5 linked regions of the Solanum lycopersicum genome follow. The protein of the gene in region 2 binds, or shares a complex with, the protein of the main gene of each other region. Links are inferred from orthologs where the notes say so. Each region holds a gene or a part of one and is shown on either strand. Other genes may lie near its edges. The genes, in order: mediator of RNA polymerase II transcription subunit 21, mediator of RNA polymerase II transcription subunit 13, probable mediator of RNA polymerase II transcription subunit 26b, mediator of RNA polymerase II transcription subunit 15a and MED18.

Region 1 (4,100 bases), on a different chromosome or scaffold from region 2:
GAATAATAACAAATATTCTGAAAATCAATTTCTGGGTACTGATTATCAGACCATTTCGGCTCTTTCATTTTAACAAATTTCTCATACGATTTCAATCTATACTCAAGCATCCATTCAGGCTCATTCTTTCTTGATGAAATTAACCTAATAGTATCCTCCGAAAGCCCTTTTGGCAGCGCAAAAGATTCAATATTTTCATTAAAACCCCATTTATAGTCTCTTTTCAAGAATTTCTGAAGTGGGTCGCCTTCATTTGAGATTGATAAAGATGATTCTTTACCTGGAACTTCAACAGTGGCCTTCGCATCAGCAGCTTTAATCTTGAAATTACCTGGATTTGAGATTTTGGGGCCGGGTGAATTAGGCAAAAAGTTATACCCTTTTGGGAGTTTAGGCTGCTCAGCGATGGATTGAGGACAGAAGTGTGAGATTCCGTTGGTGAGAAGAGAAGCCATAGTTGATGCTTAGAAGATAGAAAGAAGCAGGATGAGAAGGCAAACATAAATTTTATTTGTTTCTTTTTTAATTTTTTGTGGTGTCTGATCTAAGATGTCGTATGCTGACCACGTGCATCTTTTCAAAGCCTAAATTACAACAACAAAAAAAAAACAATTAAAAAAAATAGTAAAGCTAAATTATTTTTGTTGCATTTTATGTCATTTAAGCGCTCACTTGATAATGATAAAGTCAGACTTTATGTTGAAAGGTTTAAAATAAAAACAAGTAAATGTGAAGAGTTATGACTGGTGTTTGTGCATGTTACTTTACAAATTAGGACTGGTGTTTGTGCATTATCTATAAGAACGGTGAAACTCAGAAAGTGACGAAATTTACTCAGAAATTCAATGGCGTTCATAAGAGAAATTTGTAAAATCCTGGGGAAAATCGTATAAGAGAGAAAATCGTCTAAGAAAAAAAAAGGGAAATCGTATTATGTTTTAGAGAAGTAAAATGAATGAAAATGAGAAAAAAATTAATAATTAAGATTTATGAGTCTACATGGAGATGATGTTTTTTGGTGCTCATGTGGCATCCATATGGTGTCCACGTGGCGTTCAGGTGACACTTAACACACCTTTGTTAAAATTAAGGGTAAAAATAACTCAATACTTTAATAGAAGGGCTAGAATTTAATTTAAAGATATATGTGAGCTAATTCGGATAATTCAGAAATATTTTTGAGCATTTTTCGTAAAATTTAATTGAAATAATGGTTAATTTTAGGTCTAATTTTAAAACAATTGTAACAGATTATCGAATCTACTTCGGCTCTACCCGGACCTCCAATTCTAGGGTTTTCAGGTAAGTTCTTCTCCTCTGTTTTCTATTCCTTTGTTCGATCTTTTCTCAAAATTCACCATTTTTGTTAGCAATAAAGGGAAGGATTTGGAAGATGGATATCATATCACAGTTACAGGAACAAGTAAATACAATTGCAGCTCTTGCTTTCAACACCTTTGGTACTCTTCAGAGGGACGCCCCTCCTGTGCGTCTATCACCTAATTATCCAGAACCTCCACCTGCTAATCCCACAGAAGACTCAGCTAATGTTGCAGAACAACCAAAGCAAATGAGTGCTGCTTTTGTTAAGGCTGCCAAGCAGGTGAAACTCCATACTCCATACCTTCACTTTTTCTGCTTATTCATCAACGAATATGAACAAGCCACAGACCAGGGTATAAAAGTAATCTGCGTGTACTTCGAGAATAGGGAATTTTCTCTTTTTTCGGAAGATCAAGATAAACTATTTAGTTTAGTTTCCTTTTTTGTGTAGACATTTTTTTTGTAAATGAGCCTGAATAAGTGATTGAACTTGTAGAATCCCTTTAAGAATAGGAAGGTATATCTTTGTGTTCCCTGTAAATGTTGTTGATTGCACCTTCTTGGTGCTGTATTACAAATGCACTTACCATTCCTTCAAAAAATCATTTTTGGACAAAATAATGTTTCTTTTGTCTTCTTTTGACTAGTATGTTTACTTTTGGAAACGTCAAATCTTTAGATATATGATGTGTTTGTGCAGTTCTATACAAGATAACACTAAGTTGTATCTTGGCTCATCATATCTAATGCGTACATGCAGTTCTATACCAGATGATATTAAGTCTTTGTTTGTTCAGACTTGAGACCTGCGTGGTTGAGTTCAAAGACCTTAGTCCTGATTCCTGAGACCAGTGTGGTTGAGTTCAAATACCTAGTCTTTTGTCCTTAGTTTAACGAGAAATACAATAATGCTATTAGCATCACCAACTACTTCAATAAAACTTGACTGAATCACATAATGGCGGACAAATTCCAACTACTAGCTGGACAGGATTGCATGCCTCTAGGGATTTTTACTAGAGAACTTGATGTCAGCCTCTCAGGTTTGGTAACCATGACATCTAGGCCAAGACTCACCGGGTAAACCTGGTGTCAAAACCGGAAAACTGAGTTCTAGTTTATCGCCCTTTAGCTGTCTTCTATGAAATGTATATGGACAACCCTGTGATTAGTTCTAAGGTGTTCAAGTTTACAGTTATGTTTCCCTTGTTTTCTTCTTGGCCTCACAATCAGAGGTTGTCTAATCTAGCATCCTATCAAACTTAAGCAGCACAGCCGACACTTGAGAGTAGCCTTGAGGATTGTGTGGCTCTAATTCAGACCAATTGCAAATTTTCATTGTGATCCTAAAGTGTATGCTTTGCTACAATGTCATTGTATTAAATCTATCTTCTCTTTTTCTTATCCTTCTTTGAGCAGTTCGATGTGTTGGTTGCTGCTCTTCCTTTATCGGATGGGAGTGAAGAAGCCCAATTGAAAAGAATTGCAGAACTCCAGGTATATGCTTCTTTGTGAATAATTGGTGGAATTCACTTTTTGACATCCTCTAATTCTGATGTGTTATAGCTTAACAGTATTTAAACTAAAAAAATAAAGAAGGATAAATAAAGATTAGTCTGTCTATTTTGGGCTTAGTAGTCTTACTCGGTTGTGTATGTATGTGATGTAGGCTGAGAACGATGCAGTTGGCCAAGAACTTCAAAAACAACTGGAAGCTGCAGGTAAGAGTTTGTTTTTCCCTTGCTTTCTTTCTGAAAGATAGTGGAAGCTGTTCTGATTAGGCTAAGGTCCAAATTTCCGTTTTCCTGTCTGTATTATTAATTTTTTGTTTATTCTGAGACTCAGTTTGCTGATTTTGGTGATTTAGAGAAGGAGCTAAAGCAGGTCCAGGAGTTGTTTAACCAAGCAACAGATAACTGCCTGAACTTGAAGAAGCCAGAATGAATAAGGTAGTAGATATTTCAGTTTGCTTGAGGAGCCCATTCTTGCTGGAATATACCCTGGAGGAACAACAAATTGATTGTGTCCATGTCTGTTATGGGTACATTTATTAACTAATTATAATTAGGCATGCTCTGACATTATTTTTTTTTTAAGTTCTTGGCCACTGCTGAAGAAAAGAATTCAGTATACTATTGTATCTGGTTTAGAGCTGTGTTTATAGAATGAAAAGAGGTAGGGATAATGTGCCTAAATAGCAAAAATCAGCAGTTTTTTTGTCTCCACATCCTTAAATATTAGTGTCTTCTGTGCCACGTGTTCAATTTAGAAGTTGGCTAGTTTCTCTGCTCCAGCACTTGTCAAAAGTTATGCAATTATCAGACTGACTTCGTAAACATGTGATCCCAAAACATGGCAGCTGGCATGCACAACTACCCTACCGAGTTGATGATTTTAATTCGTAGACACATTTTGGGCTGTGTCTGGGTACTTTGGGAGTTTAGATTGCATATCGCCAGAATATTTTCTTGTCGTGCTGGAACTGAGGCGTGGCCGAAAACAAGTAGCAACCACACAAAATATATAGAAAACCTTGTCTGCCTAATATGTAAGCGTGACAGCAACGAAGAGAAGAATTTACAGCCATCGGGGTTTGTTGAATGCTAAAATTTAGATAGAACGTGGGTCCAACTATGACTGGTAGAAGGACTCAACCACGTCATATGACAATTGGCATCAATACATGAATGAAGAAACTAACGCAGGAGACGTATTGAAGACTACAATACATAAGACATTTTTATCAAAATAAAACTATCACGGAAATCATTCAGACG
Region 2 (3,189 bases):
TTAAAACTGAATTGCAGAATTTGACAAAATGTCTGAGCTTTACTGGAGCAAGAAACAGCTTCAACATCTCAATCTCAAGCCTTGGCACATTGGACTATTAGATCAATTGACTAATACAAAATATAAGCTAGCTCTAGAAATCTCGAATCCAAAGCCTAGGTAAAAATTTCGAAATATTCTGATATGAATCCAAATTTAATGGTGACAACAAGTGAGACTAGTTTGCTTTTCATAATCCAACATTAGTAATGATGTGGTTGGTTACCTTATTCATACCTGCATAAATCAACTTTACAATATGCCTATGTTAATTGTCATTTTTGTTGCCCATTTGAGTTTTGAAATGGCCAAATGATCTATTTAGATAAACGAACACACATTTTAATCCACTAGTAAAGTACCGACACTTATATTAACTTTTGAAACTTGTGATCATAAAGCACTTATACGACTGCTAGAGCTAGTCATTTTTGATAAATAATATCATTATTAGTTTGAGATTGGTAGTGTTCATGCCTTCCATCTTTGTTTATATTTAGCATAAGTAAAATGAAAACAAGACCAGAGAACAGATTAGTCCCCTCAAAGAAATTAAATGGAAAATACAAAGGCAAAACTTTGCCATTTTCAAGGATTCAAAGTACAGATGACACATCATTTCTCCAAACTAGCCTAACTTGAGATCCCCATTTCCCATGCACTAAGCACTGCTATTCAGCAATTAAAAAAATGAACTAAGAGTCACAAATCTGCTGTCTAGTAAAACCATCCTGTCATCAAGTGCCTTGGAATGTTGTAAAGATAATGAGGGACTCGAGCACTTGATAGTATTTTTAGGACTAAAGAATTGTGTACTCAACTCTTTGGATCCCTGTAATAGTTTACATGACATTATGTACAAAATAAAAATCTACTATCCTACAACTACTAATTTATCCCAAGGTAACACTTCTCAGAAAGGATGTTCTCCAGCGAACTAGTATATGCATTTTGTGTTTACAGTCTGTTTCTATAACGAAACAAAGACACAAGATGGACGGCTTGAACAAGTTGTGTGTATGCTGCAATTTACACGTATCCTAAACTTGGCTTTTCACAGGTTGCCGAGAAACTTCCTTATCGGCAAAGTGAAGCAGTCTCCGAAGCCTTAATACCATGTCACAATGTAAAGGCAAAGCAGATCTTCTCTCCAAGTATGCCGGACTTACAGTCATCCATGATAAAGCATGGAGCTCTGCAGCTATGTTCTCAAGAATCAAGTGAGCTGCTATTTCAACATCTCTTGTTTCCGAACCTGTACCCCTTCCCCCAACCTTACCAACACCCTTCAAAAACTTTTCATGGATGACGTTGCTGCCACCATAGTAATCAACGAGGCTGACAGAAAGAACTGAGGGCCATTCTTCTTTTGAGATACTCCTTACATCTCTCCTCATTGTAGGTACAGCTTTTGAAACCACAAAACCTGTTGAAAGGGGAATGGCACATCCCTTGCTGTGGAGAAGATGGGCAAGTGGTGGTGATTCAGCAGTCAGGCAAGTAGGAAGCTGAAGACTGACAGGAGGTAGGAATCTCATACTGGGTGACGGAATTAGAATGTAGGAGGTGGACGTAGAACCAAGGGACTTAACTGGGGTATAACCTTCAAGATAACCTGGCTGACTCATAATGCCACTACTTTGACTTGTTCCTGCAAAATTTATACCATGCATGAATATGAAACAGAAATAACCAGGCATAAAAATGTCAACTGATGACAAATCAAAAGAAAATATTTTTTTAATGGATTCTCATATGGTAAGCCCCAACATCACCACTACCCAAAAGAAGAACCTGACACAGAAGTGCAATGGTAACCCTATCCCACTTTACTCCCTTGGTAACCCATATCCCAACGACAATTCCTTAACCTACACTATTCCTCCCTTTACTTCATATAATCTTAGTATCTCCTCTACAGCCCATATTGTAAATAAGAGAATCTAAAAGAAAGCCACAGTCAACTCTATCAGAGAACAGGTAGTCTGAAAAAAAAAACAAAAAAAGAAGAGAGGAATTGTAAGGAATTGTACCATGACTTGTCGAGTCCGCTTGAATCATAAGCTGTAAGGAATGGTCAATAGAAAGAGAGACAAAACTAATGCTTTGCACCAACTGAAGTAAGCCCCTGGAGTTGTCCACTACACCCTGTCCGCCAATTAACTGCTTCCTTGTGGATGGTTGACCTAAGCCACCTTTCATGAAAGAGGAAGCCTTTGAGTGAGAACTGTACAATGGACTAGGGGAGGAAGGAAGTGCTCTTTCTTGAATCAGACCTATTTCCTGTTGCTGCAAGGATGTCCCATTACTACTTGCAGTCATTCCATCAGGCACAGATCGCCTTAGCTGCAGAGACCATTTCTTCACCTCAGATCCCCCAATTGAATACAGGGCTTTCTGCCATTCTGCGTCCAGAAAATTGCATTAATAAGATAAGCATGATTGATAAATCAAACAGAAACTTCATTTTAGTCGCTCAAATCAAAACCAACCAAGGTTATACTTTATCAAGATATTCATCATATCCCACACAGATATATTAGAATTAAATTGTTTGTGTTCCACAGCCAAACCAAAAAATAAAAAATAAAAAAAAATAGATCAGCTAAAACTTTGTCGCAATTAAAGACGGAGACAGCAAGTCAGATTCATCAAAATTCAACACCAATGAGTATTATGATGTAACAAAAGTAGACAGTAAGCACAAGATATTGATGACAAATGTTTACCCTGGCATTCAAGCTCAAGGAAGCATCCTATACGAGCAATGACAAAATCCCTAGGCTTGGCAATGGCAGCCTCAGGTGGACATGACTGAAGGATCTGACATCCTTGTTGCAGAATTTGCACAAACAAAGATTGCAGACCTTTCGTATCCTGCCTACTACTTATTCCCCCAAATGGATATATATGATTATCAAGCAATTCTCCCCTGGAATCTGTCCATATACACACCAGCCAGCGCCAATCTTCAGTCCAACCATAACAACAATGCAGGCTTGGAAGTGATTTTTGATGTGCAGATCCAAAACCATCTGGTACAGATGTTTCAGACTGAGTGTTCAGTCCAGTGTCTCCACCACCTGAAGAAGCTGAACTCTGCATAAAACTTCCACTTGTACCATCATCCAACAAAAGCTTTGAAGATTC
Region 3 (4,111 bases), on a different chromosome or scaffold from region 2:
TTATTGATAAATGCATTGGAAAAATAAATAAAAAATTAAAATTTTGTTTTGTTTTGGATCAAACAAAAAAATTCTGTTTTTTTAATGAAGTTTAATTCCTTCGTATATTTATTTAGTATTATAAATTAAATTCTTTCGAAATAGAAAGAAAATCTACTATACAACACTAGCAATAGAAATTACAAACTTCAACAAATAAAAAAAATTATATGGTACTTTTATTTACAAAATACAATGCAAAAATAAGTAATTTGTATGTTTATTAGGATTTTAAGGATAATAACATCTTTATTGAAACTCTTTTTCTAATTTTAAGTTAATCAAAGAACGAACAAGTCCTAAATAAATAATTATAATAATTTCACATAACAATAACTTGTTCATTAAAATATAAAAAGAAATATAAATTTATATATAACATATTATGATTTATAAACTACAAAAAAGGAAACAACATGAAAAAATCTAATATAACAAAGGGTGGTATAAGACTAAAACAGGAGAATTAATTTTTTAGTCCACTTGCTATTTTTAAAAAGGCAAAGATAAATTGGAGAAAATTTAAGTTAAACTTTATATAAATAAAAAATTTACCTTTTTTATTTGAAGTAAAAAAATAAAACTCCAAATGAATAATAGTATCAAATAACAATAGTTTGTCATTGAAATTTGAATTTAATATAATATTATGATATTTTTTATAAACAGACAGTATTATGATAAAAAAATTTAATGTAAATATGACATTTTATACGAATCAAACGTAATAAGACTTTTTCTTAAAAATTAAAATAAACAATGTGAATATATATTTATCCGTATTAATTAAGCATCTTATTATTTTAACAACTTATATTTCTTTTTATATAAAAATAAATCAATTAAAACATACTTTAAATATTTTTTTATTTTTTATTTTCTTACTTTTAATATATAAAAAATAACATTTTTTTCTTATTTTACCATCGATATTAATTGCTTACTCCTTGCTCATTTTTCAATATCCAAGACTATACATCATTCATCAATTAATATATTCACAACAAAATTATTATTATTATTACGAAATATATTAAAAATAGATAAATAAAAATAAATGAAGAGGATATATTATTTTGTAATTCCATAAAAAAAAACATATATAAAAAAAGAAAACTACTTCAAAGCAAAGAGATAAATCACTTCCTTAACTTGAAAATAAAAATCATTTCCTTTCAGATTTTTCTTTTATTGTTTTTCTATATTATGTCACTATATTTATTTATTTCTTATCATCCTTCTTTGAACTGAACACAGTTAAAAATAGTTTTTCTATGTCAAAGAGATATGAATAAAATCTATATCCATATCATTTCTTTAAACTTTACTTATGAACCTATATCAAATATGTTATTCTCATCGTTATCGTTGTCATCATCAAAGTTATCCTTATGAATTTCATCCATAAAAGAAGTTTTCAAAATCCAATTTCCATTCTATATACATATCAGAATTCGATTAGTTCAAATTTCACACTTATTCATACTTAAAATATATATTTTATATACTGACAATCTCTCGAGTTAAAAATGAAGGAATCAGAACCATCTCACCACGATCCATGCTAATGACCGAAGAAAATTGATCCTTATCACCTACCCCTAACCCCTACCCCCCACCCCCAACAGAGAAAAAACAATATTTTTTCTTCCTCTCTCTCGTGTCTCTTTGAACCAGCACCTTGTATTGCTTTTTTTTTTACAGAGAGAGAAATATAATTAAAATAATAAAAGATAGCTAGAGAGAGAAAATCTTCTATACTTTTTTTTTAACATATATTCTTTTTCTCTGGAAAAATTTCTTTCAATCGGAATAATTTTTTCTAGATTTCTCTTCTTATATCTCACCAAAAACTTAATCGGATTTTTATTTAATTTTTTTAATTTTGTTTTGTCATTTTGGGTTTATAGAGTTTCTATCATATGGATTTTTCCTAAAAAAAAAGCATAAAAATCTGTATCCGATTGCATTTTGCAGAACTGAATCGCCGGTGACACTGATTATTCAGTTTCCGATCATCGGAAAAAGTACCTAATCGGAAAACCAGAGGTTTTTATTGCTAAAAACCTTGTTTCCGATTAGAATTTGTATGATTTTCTTGTGGGTATAATTAAAATCGGATAAAGATTGAATTTGTATATTTGGGTATTGATAAATAATTGATTTTACGATCTGGGTTGATTTGTTTTTGCTCTGAATCATCAGTTATGGCGAAGAGTAGTGGGACTTTGGATAAATGGAGGGACTATTTTCGTACTGCAAATTCGGATATATTTGATATAATTGAGTATGCAGTGATGGTTGCTGCTGTTGATTGTCCAAAGGAATTTAAAATGAGAAGGGATAGAATTGCTGAAATGTTGTTTACATGTAAAGTTACTATGTGTTTTGGTTGTGAGAAAGTTGATTTAGCTGTACCAATTGCTGGTAATGATGATGAAGGAAAAATTAAGAGTAAGGATGAGTTTGGTGGTAGTAAAGAGAGCAAAGTTAACAGTAGGATAGATCATCATGATGTTGAGATGAATGTGAATCAAGTTAGCAATTATAGTTATGGAGAAGCTGAGGCATTAACTGAGGAAATGGAGGAAGAGACTCAGACTTTTGGGGAGGTGATGAGGATCAAAGATGTCATTGATAACAACCAAGCTGAGGTTCATTTCATCTCTATTGAATTTTGGTTATACTGTTGATTTGAAGTATTTTGCTGTGTTTGGATTTGTTCAGTCAAGAATTGGTGGACTCTGTGTATGTGAATTTGAAGTTTGTGTACTTTTGGGGTTGATCAAGAAGAAAATCTTGATAATTGAGCTTAAATGTTGTTAAATTTTTGGAGTTTCTGGTGTTGTATGACATATAACAATGGTTACTTTTATGGTTGAATTTAATGATTTGAAATTTCTGTTCTTGTGGGGTTGATCAGGAAGAAGAATCTTGATAATTGAGCTAATGTTGTAAGATTTTAGAACTTTTGTGGTTGAATTTGATGGTGATTCTATTTTCTCTACTAGTGTCTATAACTGGAAAATCTGATATGAGGTTGTTTTCATGTCACAGTTAGGAAACCTTTATGCTTTTCATTTCCTTTTTGCCCCCTTTTTGTTCCTTTGATCTAGTTGTACAAGGATGTTGCTTTCTTTAGCTTTAAAACAATGTATGAAGCTACTTTTAAACTCTTTATATCTTTTGCTATTTCACTTGCTTGGTAGTTTTGAGCTTTCCTCTAGTAATCGGGTTTTGAGTTATTGTTCTTTTTGACAGTCTGCAGAGTTGTTTGAGTGCTTAAGAAGGCTTCAACTAATGGCTTTGTCTGTGGAGACTTTAAAGGTTTGATCTTTTGACGCTTCCAAAATTTCATCTTCCATTTATTGTGGTTACTGTTTTTTAAATTTATTCTGGATGGACATAATTGATTGCTTCTATATCAGGCCACAGAGATTGGAAAGTCGGTTAATTCTCTCAGAAAGCACAACTCAAAGGATGTTCGGCATCTATCTCGGACATTGATTGAGTAAGTAACTCTTGCTTTATTGCTGAAATAACTGTAAGAATGTCGTCAAAATATGTATGCACAACACAGTTCTAGTAGTCTGATCCGGGGTATCTTTAATGTGGCTGAATTTGTTTTATCGCAAAGGTTTGAACTTTTGTCTTCGAGTTGAACTAACATGTCGTATTGGTGGCTCTGGCAGCTTGCTTTGTCGGTTGTAGTTTTGAAGCTATTATTACTTTTTAACGCTTGCAACTGTTTGTCGCTTACCGTTTATCTTTACCGTAAAATTAAGATTTCATCATAACTCAATCATCAATGCATACTAATGATGGTGATTGCTTCATTTATCGAGTGCTGAATTTGTTTTTATCGCAAAGGTTTGATCTTTTGTCTTTGAGTTGAACTAACATGTCTTTTTGGCGGCTCTGGCAGCTTGCTTTGTCGGTTGTAGTTTTGAGCTATTATTACTTCTTAACGCTTGCCACTGTTTGTCGCTTACCGTTTTTCTTTAATTGATGTTATCTTTAATGAAGATTCCATCATAACTCAATCATCGATGCATACTAATGATGGTCATTG
Region 4 (3,661 bases), about 9.3 Mb from region 2:
TTTCCTGTTGAACAAATTTACTCGTCTGGAAATGCGAAACTCTATCATATGATTAGGTGGGATTCAAGTGATTCACATTGTTTATAGTAACACAAAAAAGGTAGGGTGAATCCAGGCATAAAAAAAAACCCAATATGAAAATGCAAGGACCAAGTGTTTTGGGTCAATCTAAATGCTAAAGAGCCTAGCAATAAATTGAGGAGCAGTTGGGAATTCAAGTCAAAATAGTTCATAGATAGGGTTTTAGTTCACCACTAGAATATATTCACACGCTAGTTGCTACAAAAGGGATAATATTGAAACCATATAGAAAGAAGGCGTATTTTTATTGTTTCCGTATAGATTTGTACTGAGTGCTGCTCAGGCACAGTAAGGCTGAGGGACACTTAAGAGCCGGGAAGTTTGTGGTAGGGATTGGGCATTATCATATGTTGAATAAGTAGACACTGAATGACAGTCTGGTACAAAGACTGAGCAGCCAATTGAAAGTCTCAGGTTGCATATAGCATTCAATAAAATGCATTTGTCTTTATTCTAGACAGTCGTCTTATACTTAGTTCAGATTATTTAGACATACTCACAAGCTGAAAGAGTACTAAAGAAGTAAAACTCATGTCTCGTTCACATAAAGTAATGTTTGATTTTTCCATACAATATTCTATCATAGCCATCAAAGTTTTCAGAACAGAACTATAAGTGGTAGTTTGGGGTTGATGATGTTCCAGTTGCAGAAACATAATCAATAAAAATGAAAGAGCAGGCACAAGGAATGATTGTTAAAAACCACTCTGAGTCGAGTTTCAGTTTGCATGCAAGCTGAAACTTCAAGAAATATTCCACCATATTGCATTTGGTCATTCTACTCTCTCTCTAGCAGTCATGGACAAAGATCAGTTTTTACTTTTTTAACTCTAAAATGCACCTGAATGGACCTCCTTTTTCTTTTAAGAACCAATATAGTCTACCACGGAGCTCTCATGTTTGGACGTGCAGTTTTGTACTTTTATCCTGTAAGTAGGCAGCAGAAAATTACCTCTATTTTAGGTCTTTTGGCATTGGATGTTGCTGTTGACTCTAACTCAGGTGTTTCAGAATAATTCACCTGCCAGAAACTATCATTCAAACTGCTGCTTGACGACACAACGTTGGAAGTTGTATATCGCTTCATTTTCTTTGTTCCTGTAGGTCCATCCTGCGTAAAGTAGTTTCTCGCTTGGAGACGACATTTGGTCATGGCAACCAAATCTTCGCCAACAGCTGCTCTTGACCCATTTCCTGGAGCAGATCCTGCTATTCTATCATTCATACTGACAACTGAATAGATGTCTTGAACTGACGACTGCAATGCTTTGTCAGACATGTTTTTAACCTGAATGTAATAAACAAGTCAAATCAATGAAGACAGATTATTGGGATTAGTGAAGATACAAATTAAGTAGAATGGTATAATACAAACCGCTCTCATCAAGCGATCCAATGGTTGTTCAACACTTGACCTGCCAGGAACAGCAGCTGAGACATTGGCATGTGTACCATCTAGAGGAGTAAACTCAGCAAGCAAAGGTGAGGCTGATATCCCAGGAGTACCAATTGCAAGGGATTGGGCAGGTGCAGAAGCAACAGTAGCTTGCTGATGCATTATATTTCCAGCAGTGGTATGTGATCCAAGGCCAGCACCAACTTTTTCAGAATCTCCCGGCATTGGAGATGGAGCCAAGGGAGTTGAAGGAGAAGGGACAACAAACGGTGAGCTTGCGGATTGGAGAGGAGTCCCAGCTTTTGTAAGAGACGCCAACATATTTTGTTGGTCAATTTGTGGAGAAGGATGTTGGGTAACCTGAGGAGACAGTGCTTGATGGAGTTGAGGTGAAGATATTCCTGGCTTCAATTGGGGATGATGAGATCCAACACGCTGGCCAACTGACTGTTGCTGTAAAACTCCTGGTTTTATCCCCATTTGCTGCCTTATCTTTAGGTCATTAGCATCAGTCATCTGTTGAAGCTGAGACATCTGGTGGGTTGGCAACAGCGTGGTCTGCTGTTGCTTCGCTTGCTGCTGTTGTATTATCTGCTGTCTTTGAAAAAGTTGCTGCTGCATATGCCTATGGTGGTATTGCTGTCTTAATTGCTGGTTCTGCAACATTTGCTGCTCGTGCTGCTTAGGAAGTGACTGTTGCAGGGCGTTTGAATTTTGCTGTAGGGAACCGAGGTTTGCCTGTACGGGGTTTGTTCCACTTTGTGAGCTTAATGAGCTCATGTTAACTTGTTGAGGACTGTTAACAGGATTCTGTTGTAAAGAGCCAGTAGCCACCTGCTGCAGTGAGTTCAATGAATTACCCTGTCCCAAATCCACAGTGGAACCAGGCTGTACTGTATTTATCATGTGCTGCTGGGAGTTGGAAATTGTCGGTACACCAGACAAGGTATTATGTTGCAAGTTGGTGAGATTATTCTGAGGCATTGCTGCCATGGAACCCTGTGAGGGTTGCATCGACGGATTAGATTGACCATCAAGAGATGGTGGTTGCTGAAGCTGCATGGAAGACTGAGGAAGCTGTCCCTGCAGTGGAGAAGAAGAAGGCTTGCTGCGCGGCCTATTGGAACTAAGAAAGAAACTTATGTGCTTCTCAACCGAAGCCAACTTTTCCTTGTGAGAAAGTTGAATATCCTGCTTGTTAAGCCGCAAGAAAAGCACAATGCGTTCCAGCGTGATCTTGAACATCTTGAGCTTTTCAATTTGCTCATTTTGAGGACGCTGAGGAAGAGAATCATGCTTAAAATCAGGAAAAAAAAATCAGTTTAGTCAAAGTCTTGTTTCTTGCCCTTTGCAAACTTTTAAAATTCATGCTTCAAGTACACCTCCCTCCCACAGCAAAGAAAAAGGGAGAAAAACTTAAAACCAACATAAAGAGACAAATAACATAGTGGCCAGGTGCCCAATTCAACAGAATGCTGACTTAAGCGCTCTTAAAATTTAGACAAATCAAGCCCTTGCCCGAAGAATTAGGGAGGCCTTGAACCCTTCCCCAAGGGAACATAAAAGTGGCATCTACATCACAGTATTCACCTAGATATGTGTAAATAGCTCATTTTATGGTGTCCTCCACCTCTACTTTACAATCATACACAACGCTTCAACACAGGCAAACATGCTGCACCATACATAGCTAGTAGAATTGCTCCAAAAATGATAAGAATGGATTAAAATGTTGATGACATACCTGTTGCACTTTAGAAGCAATTTTGTGGTATAGATCATTGAGCTCTGCTAAGTACGACTCCTTCATAGACTTTATCTGCATTAAAAATTTGCATCAGCTCAGAATTGCGCAAATGTCAAGACTGCATTCCCATATGGAGAGGTAATAATTAGATCAACTTTCCGATACAGTAGAGAACAAACTAGAGAATCCTCATGAAAGAACCTTCCAGATAAAAAGTTAAAAGTGAAGTGGAAGCGGAAGACTAAAACTCATTAAAGAATCCATTTTGCATGATTCAACATGTGAATGAAAAAATAAACAACTGAACTTTGCTTCCTTCAGCTTCTTGGTACACGTTTCTGCTCGGTGCTAACAGCAAGGGTCTAGTTCCAAGATGTGATAATAGACCAGCCCAACCAGGAGGAATTAGAATATACTTTTCTATAATTGTCTGGGAG
Region 5 (4,250 bases), on a different chromosome or scaffold from region 2:
GATAGATAACAAACAGCTAATAATTCTAACCAGCTACCTAACACACCTAAGGTTCTTTGCGACAAATTTATGTATAAAAATATGCACTTTAGAAATCCGCATATAACTAATACAAATATAAGTTATGAGAAAAATTTGTGTATTTATTCTATGCCTGACATAAGATAGATAACTGACAGTTGCATAATTCTAACCGGCTCCCAAACGACACCTAAGGTTCTTTGCAATGATTTCAATGTATAAAAGTCCGCAATTTAGAAAGCTACATGACTAATACATATATAAGCTACGAAGAAATTTATATATTATTTTATGCCGGACATAAAAAATAACTGCATAATTCTAACTAGTTACCAAACGAAACCTAAGTTTCTTATCAACAAATTCATATCTCTATTTGCTACAATTATGATGTTTTTCTACATATAAAAATTTTTACTCTGAATTTTGTATGAATAATCTATATCCATTCCCCTTCAGTTTAAACTAAAAACAAACTCAAAACCCAGAATTAAAATTCAAATAAATTTCAAAGAATGAAAAAAGATGGAAATATAATTACAAGGGGATGAAGCAATTGGGACACTTGTATCTCGACTGTGCTTCATCACATACTTGACATTTTTTCGATCCCATTATTTCTTCTTCTTCTTCGTTATCGAGGTTTTAGGGTTTTTTCTGGAAGAGGTGGAATGTAAAATTGCAATATTGGTCCCTGAATTTTGAGTTTAGATTCAATCGGGTTCTTACAATTTTATCAAATTATACTTTGAGTCGCTTAATTAATTATGGGCCTAAACTCGAATTCGGGTCCAAAATTTTCAAACCATTTTCTCTTCTGCTAAGTACCACTTTTCTCTAATAATTCTACGAGATACTCGTCACTTTCTATAATAATCATTTTTCGTAAAAGGAATCAAATCATTTTATTCATTTATATAGAAAGAATTTTGCAATAATTAATTTTCGTAAAAAGTATCAAATTATTTTATCCATTCATATAGAAAGAATTTCGTGTTATCAATTTTCGTAAAAGGTATCAAAATCATTTTATCAAAGAATTTCGTAATAATCAATTTTTCGTATAAGGTATCAAATTATTTTATCCATTCCTATAGAAAGAATCCATTAATATTTTTTAATTAATTATATAAGATACTAATCAAATTTTCGTAACAGACATTTATCCACTCGTATGAAAAGAATCCGCTAATATTTTCAATTGATTCTACGAGATACTTGTCACTTTTCGCAATAGGTATTATTCCAACCCTATGTCTTGAGTTTCGACTTTTTTGATATTTTCGACCACTTCATTGAGCACTAAATCACCATATTATCTCTGTTACTGCTAATTGTTTTGGTTTCTCTCAGCCATAGCTTGCATTACTAAACCTTAATTTTACAATTGATCGTAGAAACATATTTTTCTTGCTAGAAAAAATCTCTCTTTGGCTCGTTTTTACTGTTGATTTTTTGTTATGTGATTAATTGGACCTTGTTTGATGTAGAAACCTAGATTTTTTTGTTACAATTGGACCTTGTTTGATGTAGAAAACTGGATTTTTTGTTACAATTGGACCTTGTTTGATATAGAAACCTAGATTTCTAGCTAGAATTTTTTTTTCTTTGGCTCGTTGTTATCGTTGATTTTTTGTTATGTGATTAATTTAGGTCTGCCTGTTTAAGCTTTCGAACTATTTTTTTTAATTGAATTTTTGCAGCTCAGATTGGGGGAAAAAGTGAGATTGCTTCAACTGTTCAAGGTAATTCTTTCAATTTTTTGCTCTGATGTTTTATGTTTAGTTCTACAATGCTAAATGATTGTGTTTTATATGTCATACAATAGTGTGTATAGATGATAAAATTTGGAGTTTGATGTAGAAACTTTGAAAAAACAGATGTATAACAATAAAGATATGTTAAACAAAGATCAAATTGTACAGGCACTAGAAAAATCATATTTTGATGCCAAAATAGTCGAAAAAAACCAAAGGCAACATATACCATATAGTCCAAGGTATTGTCTTTTCTTCACCCATTCTTCTCCTTTTCCATTTTCTCTTTCTTTCCTCCATTTTTGTAGTCATTCGTTGTTTTTGCTGAGCACATGCTCCATCATATAACAATGACAACAACATACCTTGTGAAATCCCACAAGTGGACTATGGGGAGGATAGAATGTATATATGTTGTTGTACGTATGTAGAAAATATTTGCCAAACAGGAGTTAAGCTATGTGTCCAAGTGACTAATTTTCCACATGAAAAGAATCACCCATGGTGGAGTGACTTCATTGATAAAACTTGATACCATTCCAGCACTACTACCTATTTCTTTGAAGAAACTTAGTAAAACTTAAGGTTGTTTGGTCATAGCCTAATGAAAGGAGCAAGTTTGACAGTTTTTGGTGCATATTGGATCATTAGAAGTTTCATGCTTAAAATCTTGGTGAGAATTTGGGTGTACCAAAAGACAAGTAATGACCAAATGCTTAAATTTCTAATTATGGATGGAAAAGGCAATAATTGAAGACCACCCCAAAATAGGGGCAATCCGGGCAAAAACTTTAAGCCTCAATCCAAAACTAAATTCATATTAAGATCCATTAATCTTCAAGCAATGCACTTCTCATACAAAGAGTGTCAACTTTGTTATGATTTTGGTTAGGTGTTAGCTTTTTCGTTGTTACTCTTCTGTTAAACTTAATATCTTTTTGGTTCATAGGTATGTTCTAAAGAGTTCTTTGCATGTAGGTTTGAATAAATTGAAGTGCGAATGGAGTGTGTGGTTCAGGGAATTATTGAGACTCAAGTAAGTTCCTGGAGTAATGATAAAACCTCCCCCTATTTCTCGTTTTTTTCTTATTCAATCTTTTAGAAGGTATGCTACTTGTAAAAGGTATACTACGGCATTTACTGAAACAGTTTTTGGCAATTGATTATTGAAAAGATCTTGACAGTGCTAATCATACTTGCAGCATGTCGAGGCCCTGGAAATTCTGCTTCAAGGGCTTTGTGGTGTACATAAACAAAGCTTAAGGATTCATGAACTGTGCCTTAAAAGTGTCCCTAACCTAGGTAAGTGTATTTTCTCTTTGAACTATTATGGAACTAGGAACTAACCCAATGGTCATGTATGTACTGATGTGGCTGAGGCAAATGCTCACAACCATCTATGCATTCGTAGGGAGGTTTTCTCACCTTTGAGTTTGTACATAGCTGATAATTTTTTTATGGTCCATCTTATTCTAGTTGTACTGTGGTGCTGCATGTCAATTATTGAATGGAATTAGGTTCAAGTATGATTCACTTTCAGTACATCTAATTTATAGGTCGAGACCACATGGTTTTTGCTCATTCACTTGTTGACTGTTGAGTGCCTTGTTTTCAACAAAGTGTTGCCTATCATGGTTTTGTCGATGATACAGATGTGATTCTCTGCGATGATGTACATGTGATTCTTTGACATGTTGATGAGGGTAACGTCGGAGTATTAAAACAATGCTTGTTTCCTGTTAAAGATAGTATGGCAGATGTTGATCCCACAAGGATTGAGTTTCTGCTATCCTAATTAGTGTTGCTCAATTACTATTCGAGTAATCAGATAAGCAGGCGGAATGTTTTTGACTAAAATGAAATATAAATAAGAGTTCTATGACATGAATGATGGTGAAAGAGTATCCATCAGTTCATTAAACGAGTTGAATATAGACTTTTTTGTTCTAATCAGAAGGAGTTGAATCTAGACTTCACTTATGATTAGTGTATGGTGTTCACTGTCCACCAATCAATATTGATCTCTAAGTTATAAGTGCCTCTCTCTATTACACTCAACATTGATTATTCCTCTCGCTTGTAGTAATATCTAAGGAAATAGAAAACCTTAAATTCAGAGCACCTTCAGCTAATCACCTTCCAAATCACTGGTGTATATCTCGATTACATCTAACTACTATAACCTTCTTGGCTAAGTGTATTTCTTTTTATTATAATAGTCAAGGTATTATTATACCTTAAATATGGAAGACGGTTGATTAATTAACCTTGGCTCCCACAAATATATGTTGACCCCTTGTGGTTGTCTACGCATTTGTCATATCATCATCACAATTCATAAAGTATGTTGAAGACTGATTTCTCCTCTTGGTTAGACAAGGAAAAAAAGCAAACTATGATCATTCAAACGTAATTGGGAAAATAATGGAGTCCAGTGACCTCTCTAGATCAGAAGTTTGAATTGCAGAACAA

Evidence for each region.
Region 1: mediator of RNA polymerase II transcription subunit 13 (region 2) and mediator of RNA polymerase II transcription subunit 21 share a complex: the UniProt entries of both Arabidopsis thaliana proteins name them as parts of the mediator complex. The link is inferred for Solanum lycopersicum from reciprocal best matches to the Arabidopsis thaliana genes GCT and MED21.
Region 3: mediator of RNA polymerase II transcription subunit 13 (region 2) and probable mediator of RNA polymerase II transcription subunit 26b share a complex: the UniProt entries of both Arabidopsis thaliana proteins name them as parts of the mediator complex. The link is inferred for Solanum lycopersicum from reciprocal best matches to the Arabidopsis thaliana genes GCT and AT5G05140.
Region 4: mediator of RNA polymerase II transcription subunit 13 (region 2) and mediator of RNA polymerase II transcription subunit 15a share a complex: the UniProt entries of both Arabidopsis thaliana proteins name them as parts of the mediator complex. The link is inferred for Solanum lycopersicum from reciprocal best matches to the Arabidopsis thaliana genes GCT and NRB4.
Region 5: mediator of RNA polymerase II transcription subunit 13 (region 2) and MED18 share a complex: the UniProt entries of both Arabidopsis thaliana proteins name them as parts of the mediator complex. The link is inferred for Solanum lycopersicum from reciprocal best matches to the Arabidopsis thaliana genes GCT and AT2G22370.

What each region holds. Positions count from the first base shown.
Region 1 is NC_090801.1:60,839,813-60,843,912, reverse strand, and holds mediator of RNA polymerase II transcription subunit 21, read left to right. Parts: upstream 1-1,393; coding exon 1,394-1,603; intron 1,604-2,742; coding exon 2,743-2,820; intron 2,821-2,992; coding exon 2,993-3,044; intron 3,045-3,168; coding exon of another isoform or gene 3,169-3,176; exon of another isoform or gene 3,177-3,190; coding exon 3,191-3,267; 3' UTR 3,268-3,548; downstream 3,549-4,100. Other genes in the region: iron-sulfur cluster assembly SufBD family protein ABCI8, chloroplastic, read right to left, coding at 1-455. UniProt on the Arabidopsis thaliana protein: Component of the Mediator complex, a coactivator involved in the regulated transcription of nearly all RNA polymerase II-dependent genes.
Region 2 is NC_090803.1:12,755,378-12,758,566, reverse strand, and holds the end of mediator of RNA polymerase II transcription subunit 13, read right to left. Parts: coding exon 2,769-3,189; intron 2,445-2,768; coding exon 2,073-2,444; intron 1,691-2,072; coding exon 1,080-1,690; 3' UTR 574-1,079; downstream 1-573. Other genes in the region: pentatricopeptide repeat-containing protein At2g35030, mitochondrial, read right to left, coding at 1-67. UniProt on the Arabidopsis thaliana protein: Component of the Mediator complex, a coactivator involved in the regulated transcription of nearly all RNA polymerase II-dependent genes.
Region 3 is NC_090809.1:61,266,083-61,270,193, reverse strand, and holds the start of probable mediator of RNA polymerase II transcription subunit 26b, read left to right. Parts: upstream 1-1,279; 5' UTR 1,280-2,246; coding exon 2,247-2,693; intron 2,694-3,300; coding exon 3,301-3,366; intron 3,367-3,467; coding exon 3,468-3,550; intron 3,551-4,111. UniProt on the Arabidopsis thaliana protein: Component of the Mediator complex, a coactivator involved in the regulated transcription of nearly all RNA polymerase II-dependent genes.
Region 4 is NC_090803.1:3,498,680-3,502,340, reverse strand, and holds part of mediator of RNA polymerase II transcription subunit 15a, read right to left. Parts: intron 3,297-3,661; coding exon 3,222-3,296; intron 2,774-3,221; coding exon 1,457-2,773; intron 1,370-1,456; coding exon 1,034-1,369; intron 1-1,033. UniProt on the Arabidopsis thaliana protein: Component of the Mediator complex, a coactivator involved in the regulated transcription of nearly all RNA polymerase II-dependent genes.
Region 5 is NC_090805.1:1,887,978-1,892,227, reverse strand, and holds the start of MED18 (mediator of RNA polymerase II transcription subunit 18), read left to right. Parts: upstream 1-1,372; 5' UTR 1,373-1,766; intron 1,767-1,946; exon of another isoform or gene 1,947-2,020; intron 2,021-2,756; 5' UTR 2,757-2,778; coding exon 2,779-2,814; intron 2,815-2,980; coding exon 2,981-3,080; intron 3,081-4,250. Other genes in the region: ZNHIT (zinc finger HIT-type containing protein), read right to left, coding at 563-636. UniProt on the Arabidopsis thaliana protein: Component of the Mediator complex, a coactivator involved in the regulated transcription of nearly all RNA polymerase II-dependent genes.